2 linked regions of the Yarrowia lipolytica genome follow. The protein of the gene in region 1 interacts with the protein of each later gene in a pairwise test. Links are inferred from orthologs where the notes say so. Each region holds a gene or a part of one and is shown in the gene's direction. Other genes may lie near its edges.

What was found.
Region 2: the proteins of YALI1_B06028g (region 1) and YALI1_E04033g interact in a two-hybrid assay, tested with the Schizosaccharomyces pombe proteins (2 studies listed by BioGRID). The link is inferred for Yarrowia lipolytica from reciprocal best matches to the Schizosaccharomyces pombe genes rng2 and cdc4.

The regions. Positions count from the first base shown.
Region 1 is NC_090771.1:600,852-608,163, forward strand, and holds YALI1_B06028g (uncharacterized protein), read left to right. Parts: upstream 1-1,959; coding exon 1,960-2,303; intron 2,304-2,618; coding exon 2,619-6,717; downstream 6,718-7,312. Other genes in the region: YALI1_B06015g (uncharacterized protein), read right to left, coding at 46-660. UniProt on the Schizosaccharomyces pombe protein: Component of the contractile F-actin ring; required for its construction following assembly of F-actin at the division site.
Region 2 is NC_090774.1:401,795-404,907, forward strand, and holds YALI1_E04033g (uncharacterized protein), read left to right. Parts: upstream 1-1,560; coding exon 1,561-1,738; intron 1,739-2,123; coding exon 2,124-2,389; downstream 2,390-3,113. Other genes in the region: YALI1_E04023g (uncharacterized protein), read right to left, coding at 1-579; YALI1_E04060g (uncharacterized protein), read right to left, coding at 2,556-3,113. UniProt on the Schizosaccharomyces pombe protein: Involved in cytokinesis. Required for the formation and function of the contractile ring.

The DNA.
Region 1 (7,312 bases):
CCAGCTAATGCTGTCAAAACGGATAGCGCAATTGTATGGTCTCTCTCAAAGCCCTCCGACAACCTCCTTCACCTTGCCGAGCTCCTCCAATCTCGTATGGGTTTCTGGAACAGCTCCTCTCAGGCGCTTAATTTCCAGCAATGACTGCCTCAGCGTCTCTCTGTCCTCCTCATTGAGCTCTTCGACAGGAGGCAGTTCCTCCAGCACCGCTTCCAATGTCACTCCTTCCTCAGTAGGTTGGCCAATGTCGGCGCAGTTGACTTCAGCCTGTTTGTATAGTTCAGAAATGACCTTGGGAACATTCTTGCGCATCTCGCTCAACCGCACAGTTGTCTCGTCAACCTCGGCGTACACCCGTCTCAGCTCCTCAGCTAAACCCATGTCAAACGGCTCAATGTGCTCGGTGGACTCACGCAGATGCGCGTCGATGGAGTTCACCCGTCCCATCTCCGCGCCGTCCACGACCAACGCGTGTCGCGACAGTTGCATGGTTTCTGTGACGAACTCCGACACAAGTTGTTTTACGCGCAGGATGAGCGGGTCGGTGGGGTCGTTTCCGGGCAAATGCAGCGACGTTTTCTGGTCCACGGCCGAGGAAAACTCGTCTCGGAGATATCGCGCGTCTTGGGCCGTCAAATGGAGCTTTTCTGGGGGTGGCATGGCGTGTAGTGTATTGGGTGCCGTGTGGTGATCTTGTGTGTAGTGGTGATGATCAAGTCAAACTGAAAATAGGAGGTTGTGATTTTGATGCATGAACTTTACGACGTGAATGGAGGAGGAACAGAAATATTTCTGGGGGGTTTGGTCAGCGGGCGTTGTCCATTTTGGACTATTTATGTTGTGTTTTGGGTCTTTAGTAAACCGAATTAAAATAGAAATCGTATCAGCAGAGTATTAACAAATTATTGACAAAGTATTAACGAATTAATAGCAAATTATTAACAAATCATTAACCAAGTATTAACAAATTATTGACAAATTATTAACGAATTAATAGCAAAAATTAACAAATTATCAACAAATTAACATTATTAACAAATTGTTAGCAAATTATCAGCAAATTATTAACAAATTATCAACAAAACATTAACAAAACATTAACCAAGAATTCACAAATTATCAACAAAACATAAAAAAACAAGCTCCCAAATTGTGGGATTGACGGTGGACAAAGGGTAGAGAATCATCCGTCTCAGAGTATCTACTTGTATATATACAGTCAGTTCCACCAGTAATGGGCTTATTAGCCACTCAAAACAGGTTTTGGGAACTTTGCTGTGATCATGTTTATTTTTCAAAATAAAAAATTATAATTTAATCAGAGAATTTTTAATAGATATATCTATGGCTCTGTTTAATGCCTAACAAGAGGCTCCAACAACGCGCCAAAGAAACACGTCCGAAACCAACCAAAACGTGCCAAAGAAACACCGCAACATGTCCGAAATCCGACGACCGACAAGGTTGATATCGAGCGATATCCGAGCTCTTTTGAGCCCCGTCGCAGAGCCAAAATTCACGCTCATCTCGATCTACAGAGGAGATGGTCAAGATCAAGATCAACGGAAGAGAGTGAAACACCCGGAGACACCCGGAGACACCCAGAGACACCCAGAGACACCCGGAGACACCCGGAGACACCCGGAGATACCTACAAACACCCGGATTCTCGTCTTCTCCGTCACGTGACCACCCAGCCTCGCTCGCTATTTACGTCCTGGTTCTCGTGACCATGCACGGTTGTTATTATTATCTTCATTTGGGGTGCAACTTTATTGCCCTCGCTACAGTCTGTTTGGACGTTGCCGTTTCGGGAAAGTAGGTTGTGATAATAGGAGAGGTGCATGTTTACCAAAAAACAAGCGGTCAAGGTTTGCAACATCTCCATCTACGGAACCGACACAACTACCACCCGCTCGACGACCGCGTTAATTAGCCAATTCAGTACACATCTCAGCCATGGTCAAAAAGGGAGTGGCAAGCCGCTACTTGGAGACGCTGGGGGGGGCCGAGGCGCCTCCACAACCGCTACGACCGCGGTCCAACGCCCGAATCAACTCGGGCACGCTGAGGAACCAAAAGATTCTAAAGTCGTCGTCGACCAGCCATTTCCGCAACCTCGCCAACAACGACATTGAAAACCTGCGTCTGCCGGGCGTGACGGTGGACCAGGAAGACGTGATTGGTCTGCAGGGCCGGGTACGGTTGATGAAGCTGGAGGACGAGAAACACAACTGGATGGACATGCAGCGAAAAAACCTGGCTGCCTATGAGTATTTGTGCTATGTGGGGGCGTGCAAAGAGTGAGTTATGGGCAAAGTCCAAGTCGCATGAGCGAAGCGAATGTGACTGAAGTAAGTGGGATGGTGGAGTGGGTTTGGAGGGGGGAGCGAATTTGAGCGCATCTGATGGAGTGACAGTGAACCAGTCGCTCGTGGCTAGATCCCTTACAGGTGGACGTATATTTGATGTCAATCGACAGAGACATGGATAAACCACACCGTTTTTGCCCCTCCAGTGCCCCAAATCCACCTGATAACAATTCCAATCTGTCTGTTCCTTCTGTTACTTCTGACCTTCCTAACATCACCACTCCCGTGGAACTTGTACTAACTCAGATGGATTGAAGAAGTCACCCAGATGACTCTTCCTCCCGTTGTCCAACTCGAAGACTACCTTCGTAACGGTATTGCGCTCGCCAAAGTGACCCAGGCTGTCGCTCCACACCTTGTCAAACGAATCTACGAGGGACCCGGCCTTCAATTTCGACACTCGGAAAACATCAACTACTTTTTCGCCCTGGTTTCCGAGCTCGGCATGCCCGATCTCTTCACTTTCGAACTCACCGATCTCTACGAGAAAAAGAACATCCCTCGAGTCATCTACACAATTCACGCCATTGCCTACGCCCTCTACGTCGAGGGTGTGGCTCCTCCCATGAGCAACCTCGTGGGTAAGCTGGAGTTCTCAGACGAAGAGCTCGCCCGAACACAACGTGGCCTCGACAATCTCGGTGTCCGCATGCCCAATTTCTCGTCCATGAACAAGGAGCTCGGCATGGAGGAACAGACTCCCGAGCCGGAGCACGTGGAACCCGAGGAGAGCGAGGAGGAAATCATGGTCCGAGAATTGTGCGAGGCCAACGACAATATTGAGGAACTACAGTCTCTGTGCTTTGGTTACCTCGCCAGAAGGGAGTTCAACGATACCAAAAGACAGCTCAAGGAGGCTGAACAGTCCATTATTGCTCTCCAATCTCTGATCAGAGCTCTGGGACCCCGACAAACCTTTGTGGTTCAACAGGGAGCGGTCTCAAGATCTTCCTCCGACGTCACTAAGGTCCAGGCTCTTCTGAGAGGTTATTTGTCGAGAAAGCAGTTCCAAAAGACACTCGATCGACTCTCCTTTGCCGAGTCTCAGATTGTCACCCTTCAGTCTGTTGCTAGGGGCAACAAGGTGCGTGCAGGCGTCGTTCGACAGACGTCGTCACGTGATTTGGGCGACGTGACCACTCTTCAATCTATCATTCGAGGTTCTGTTGTCAGAAGAGCTATTTTGAAGACCAAGGCTGAGTTGGGCAACTGTTGTGACGCTATTTCTGAGCTTCAGGCGATTTCCAGAGGAAATTCGGTTCGAGAGGAGCTTGACAACATCGCTCGAGCTCTACAATCCGAGTCCCATGCAATCACAACCCTCCAGAGCGTCATTAGAGGCTCTCAAGTCCGGTCTTCCACCATTTCCACCTCCAATCACATGCTGGACATGTCTTCTGGAGTGATTGAATTGCAGTCGTTGATCAGAGGATGGATGGTGAGACAGGAGGTCGGTGCCAAGAGGGCTGCTTTGAGAGCTATCTCTGAGGACGTTTGCGAGCTGCAGTGCGCTGCTCGAGGAGGATTGGTCCGAAACGTAATCAACGAGAAGATGGCTGTGTTGAACGGTCAACATGGAGCTGTTCTGACTCTCCAGAGCGCGGTACGTGCTGGAATTGTTCGAAACCAGCTTGCTCGGTTCCATGAGCGGCTGGATAGAGCTTCTTCTTCCGTCACCAAGCTGCAGACGGTCATTTGGGGTGTTCTTGCCCGTTTCGATTACTCTCTCATGATCGAAGAGTTCCTTGACGAGGAGCCCAGTATCATTATGCTGCAGGCCGCATGTCGAGCAGCACTTGTTCGAACCAAACACAATGATCGAATGGCTCATTTCCACCGAAACATGGACAAGGTGATCAAGATCCAGTCGTACTTGCGAGCCCGAACCCAGGGAGATGCCTACAAGTCGCTGGTTTCTTCTCCAGACCCTCCTCTGTCGACTGTCAAGAAGTTTGTGCATCTTCTAAACGACTCTGACTTTGATTTCGAGGAGGAAGTGACTTTAGAGAAGCAGCGAAAGCAGGTGTCCGACGAGGTACATAAGAATGAGCAGCTGGAGCAGTTCATTCAGAACCTGGACGTTAAGATTGCACTGCTTGTGAAGAACAAGATCACCTTGGATGAGCTCATTCGAACTCGAAATAAGGGTGTTGCGGTTCCTCAGATTGACAATGGCGACGTTTTCAACCTCAAGGCACTCAACAAAACCTCAAGGCACCGTCTTGAGCTCTACCAGGGTTTCTTTTACCTTCTTCAGACACGGCCAACTTACTTGACCCGGTTGTTTGGTCGAATCTCCTCCACTCCAGAAAAGGACATGAAGAACGTGGAGACGCTGACCATGAACATTTTTGCACATGCTCAGAGACGCCGAGAAGAGTTTTTTCTGTTGAAGCTGATTTCGCGATCGGCGGCAGCTCACATTTCCACGTTGGACGCGTCCAAGAACATGGTCCGAGACAAGCACATGTGGCAGCGTCTGTTTGCGGCACTCAACCGAGGAGCTGCTCCCAAGAAGCTGCTCAAGTCTCTTCTCGGCCCTCACGTAAGCACCGTTGTTGACCAGCACATGCTGGACCTCGAGAGCGACCCCATTGCCATCTACCGATCTTTGATCAACCAGGAGGAGCTAGCCAGTGGCCGAACTTCTGCACGTGACCCCAACCTACCTGTAGATGAGGCTATCCAGGACCCCGAGACTCGACAGACGTTCATTGCCAACCTGCAGCGTCTTCGAGAGCTCACCTCCGAGTTTTTGCATACCATCGAATCATCTGTTCTTCAACTGCCCTACCATGTGCGATACGTTGCCCGAGAGTGTTACCGATCTGTGCAGAAGACGTTCCCCCACGAGTCTGAGGATCGCCACCTGGCCGTGATTGGAGTCGTTCTTGTCTCTCTGTTTGTCATTCCTCCCATTGTTGCTCCTGACGACTATGGAGTGTGTGAGTCTGCCATTGGACCTGCTCAGCGACGAAACCTCGGCGAGGTGGCCAAGATGCTGGCCCAGATTGCGTCTCTTCGGCTTTTCTCACGGGAGAACGTCTACCTCCAGCCTCTCAACGATTACATCAAGCAGACCCAGCCTCGAGTTCGGGCCATGCTCAAACTTGTTGTTGACGTCTGTGACCCGGAGCAGTACTATGAGACTTCCACGACTGACGATGTGACGGCCACCAAGCGTCCTACTTTGTTCCTGCGAACCAACGACATTTTTGTCATTCACAATCTCATCTGCAGAGAAATCGAGACCGTGGCTCCTGATGCCAAGGATCCTCTTCGAGAGGTGGTCACCGATATGGGAGCTCTGCCGTCTTCAGCTACCGAGGTGCTCAACATGGCTCGATTCACCGAAGTCAAGCTGGATCTGAACCCCATTTTCGCCAAGGGAGACGACTCTGAATCGGCCTACAATACCATGCTGGTCGAAACGAAACGGTACCTGTTGTACGTGATTCGAGTCCAGACCGGTGCCTCTCTTCTGGATATTCTGCTGGCTCCTGTCAACCAGTCTCATGAGGACAAATACAGAGCCATTCTGACCGAGGAGGCTATTGAGAGACGAAAGCGGGAATCTGAAGAGCAGATGACCAAGAGCACATCTTCGTCGCAGTCGTCGCGGTCGCTCCACCGACTCTGTAACTCGCCCTCGGAGCACCAGTTCTCCCAGATGACCTACAGAGACCTCAAGCTGCTGTCTCTGGAGAAGGTGATTGAGCTGGAGACTCTTGGGAAGATTTCCCGAGCCAACAACTACCAGGAGATTGTCAACTCCATTGCGCAGGATATCAAGACGAAGAAGAACCGACGTCTTGCTCGACATGCGGAGCTGGATTCTATTGCTCTAACTCTCCAGGGCCTGTCGGAGAAGGAAGCCTACCTGCAGTTGCAGCTCAAGAACTACAATGACTACATCGAGCAGGCCATGGCGACTCTTCAGACCAAGAAGGGCAAGCGAAAGGGTCTTGTTCTGCCCTTTACCAAGCAGTACTTCCATCAGAGAGAGCTGCAAAAGTCTGGCAAGGTGCCCAAGTTTGGCTCTTTTGTCTACTCTGCTCAGGCTCTGATGCAGAAGGGAATTCTTGTGGAGCTCAACGGATACCAGGACAAGGCCCAGGACAAGGTCATGTTCACCTTTTCGTCCGACGAGGTTGGAGTTTTTACAGTGGAGGCTGCCTACGGCGGCATTGCTCTTCCTGGAGCCACCACCACTCTGACTCTCGACGATCTGCTGTCACAGCAGTACAACAACCAGCAGCTGGTCAACCTGTTTGACGACATGGTCAAGATGAACACCAACTTGCTGCTTCATTTCATTTTCAGAAAGTTTTACCGCGACAACTAGACCTCGCACGACACGGCGGGAAGCGCCTTTTACATATCACCATACCCTTAATGTTATTGTTACAAGTACCGAGATTGGATGTAGATATGACCATCGAGGGGCGAATGGGGTCAGGTAGAAATCGTTTGCTTGGTCTTAGTTGTTTCCGTTCAGTATCAGGCAGGAGCGAGGGAAGTCCAAGAAGGTCCACACAGACCAGAGATGTTGCGGGTTACATGACTGTCTTGGAAAGTATTTTGACAGACAGAAAAGTTCACGTGTTCCCTTTGGGCTCATGTAGGTAGATTGACCGGCAGTTCTCTTCTCCAGTAAGGCTGCTCGTACCATCTCTAGCACCTGTCAGGTTCAACGTACGATGCCCGGATTGACACGGCACTTGAAAGGAGCATTGATGGGACTCAGGTAAACAGGAAAAGTTGGGATTCCAGATATATCAGAGGTTTTTGTCATTTCTATCAACTCCACTTTGGTCTATGAGCTCTATATTCCATTCTAACCTCATTGCAAGATCCAAAACAGCAACATGTCTATATACATACTGTACATATGGTGGAGTATCTTCAATAGTCGAAATTCGTCTTGTTCGTCCTGCTTG
Region 2 (3,113 bases), on another chromosome or scaffold:
TGTCCGAAGATCCGAAATCATGAGGGCAGCATCGTCTCCACCAGACATGACCAAGTTGGGGAACTCGTCTCCTCCAAAAGACGAAATCCAAGCTTCCAAAGAGTGCTCATGCAGCGAGCGGTCGATCTTGAGCTCGGAGTCTGAGATACGAATGAGAACAACCTCACCGGAAGTTAGAGTGGCTACCATGAGATCATTGAAAGTGGGACTGAACGTGATAGAGAGCACAAGCAGCGACTCATCAAAGAGCTGGTAGGACTTCTGCTGAGTCAGCTCAGAACCGTCCCACCTCCATGTGATGATGTTTCCGGTACTTTGACTGGTGCAGATGAAAGAGTGGTCGAAGGGGCTAATCTTGAGGTCCAAGATTGATGAGTTTGTTCGGCAGCTCTGCTGCAGTTTCAGCTGGTCGTCTTCAAGCTTGTAGACATCGACCGTACCATTTCGACTTCGGTCGTCCTCCAGCTTGTAAGTGGCCACAAAGATGATAGATGCATCATCAGGTTGAATCTGGATGGCACATGGTGGCAGATCGGTGATTGCAGACGTTATAGTGCACTTGTTGCTGTGGTCCTCCATTTAGTGTTCACGGAGGAGAAAAAAAAATAATTAAGGTGCGATTATGCATGAATGCGCTTATAGACCTGCTCACGAAATTGAGAAGGGGATCTACTACTTGTACTTGTAGTAATTTTACGAATGTGCTTTTGTATTGTAGCAGACAAGATGACTGAATCCGGCAAGATAATGAGCTACTCAAAAACGAAAAATTAGGACGGCACCATGTGACTGACTGACATCTCACAGACCATCGCTGGAAAGAGAGACCGTTATTATATACAGCGCCTCTCACATACATCGGCTGTGTCTCTTGTATCGTACAGTAGCCTGTCTAATTAACGTGATTATGTACAGCCCAAGTATCGTACAAGTACACAGATCAGTCAGTTGATCAAGAAAAGGGGCTAACAGGGCCGAGAATGATTGAAGCTACAGTCTTGGTGAGTTCACCCCTTGACTCCTATTTTTTATCATTAGGCTGTTTTACGGGATTCGTATCAAGATGTCATTTGCTGAGACCTATTCCCAATTGTATTATCTCTTCACAGCCCATGAACCTACAGCACCATAACGACACACCCCTGCCTACAGTAAAGGGTAGCTACCGGTAATAAATGGTAAAAATTCATGCTCTCGGCTGTGCAGGCCAGTCTCCATGGCGACAAGAGATCCGCGCTAAAAATACAACTCGTGTTTGATGGTGGATTCAACCCGAATAATGGAGGCAACCACTCGTGACAGCGTCTGAATACCAATGTACATTTTCAAATCTCTCTATAGGACTCACTCTACGAAGGGTTCAGTAACACGATAGACACACGCACTCACGTGTCCAAAGCTTGAATCTTAGGGTTAGGTCAAGTTTATTTGCGGTTTGTTTATGTTTGTGTACATTGGGAATAGGAGACGGGACAGAACGCATCAACACAAACTACACACAAAAATATTACAAATGGTGAGTTCAGAAATGAGAGACTTGTTGCACTCTTTCAAATCATCATGGCACCACTAACAAAGTCGCAAAACTCCAAATCTTTCAAGGACGCCTTTTCCCTGTTCGACAAGAAGGGCACCGGCAAGATTCCTGCTGAAGCTCTCGGTGATCTTCTCAGAGCTGTGGGCCAGAACCCCACCCTCGCTGAGATTGATGATCTGAAGCAGACCATTCCCGCTGAGTGTGAGTATACTACAGATATTTTCAAGCATCTAGGTGATGGGCCGATAATGGAACACGGTGTGGTGTGTGAGACGATGAACCGAAACATGTCACGGTCCAGCGAAATGCAACTGCGATAAATTGGGCGGTTTCAACGTGTTGGGGTATAGATTCGAGGAACCCGTATCACTTATATCGTGATCACAACGTGTTTGGATCTCTCGTGACAGAAACTTGCCCGTCAAGGGATGTTCCGGTGATTGATTCCTTCATTAAGGTCGTTAAACGGTAACCTCGAAGCGATCACATAAGTCTCTATGACGACAGGGGAGATGGGGTATGCCTAGATTCGCTCTTTCACACCTCTACCAGCATAAATCCACCCCCTCCATCAGCACTAACACAGTCGACTACGAGACCTTCTCCAAGATCGTCAACCGACCAAGCGGTTTCAAGTCTCTCGGTGAGCCCGAGGATTACATCCGGGGATTCCAGGTGTTCGACAAGGACTCCACTGGGTTCGTGGGTGTCGGCGAGATGCGATACATCCTTACCTCGCTGGGCGAGAAGATGTCTGATTCCGAGGTTGATGAGCTCCTTAAGGGAGTCAACGTTACTCGAGACGGCAACGTCAACTACGTTGACTTCGTCAAGTCCATTCTGGCCCAGTAGATACCTAATATATTTTTTATGTTTGAGCGATTCCCATCCGTAGCTACTTGTACTGGTGACAATGTCTTTGAAAGTGTCGTATTGTTTTACATAGATCATAACAGTGAAATAAATAGCTTATATATATAAATTAAGCAACCTGTTGCCGAAGTATCTCGTTGGAATATCAACTCAAGATGGGCAGGAAGTTGCCAACAATCATCATGGGGTTGCCAAAGACATCCCGTTTTAGGGTCCAGATACTGGATGTTTTGATTTTAGCACCGGTCGGTGTAAGTAGTGTACAGTCGGCCATAGTAGCTCCTCTTGAGTCTCCAAAAGCGATTCGAGAAAAGAGCTCAAAGTACTCGAGGACAGAATTGTCGTCCAGCAGCTCTACGATGAAGGTCTGCTGACCAATGAGACGCTGTTCAGACCAACCCGAGAGCTGACAGAACTCTTTTCCAACAGCAGCTAGTTGACCAGTACGTCTCCAGACAAGAGTGGGGGTTCCAGAAAACGAAATAAACTTTTGATACTCTAGGAGGGCTCGCTGGAAGCATTGTTCCATGAACACCAGGTCCTCCTCTTTCAGCGAGTTGGTACAGGCAATAAAAGAGGGTCTGTATTCAGCCATATACTTAGTCATCTGGACGAGCTGCTGTTTGTTGAAACGGCCTTTCAGATAAGAAATGAGTCCATGGTATCCAGGAGTGTAGCTGAATGGCTTTGTGATGTTAGTATA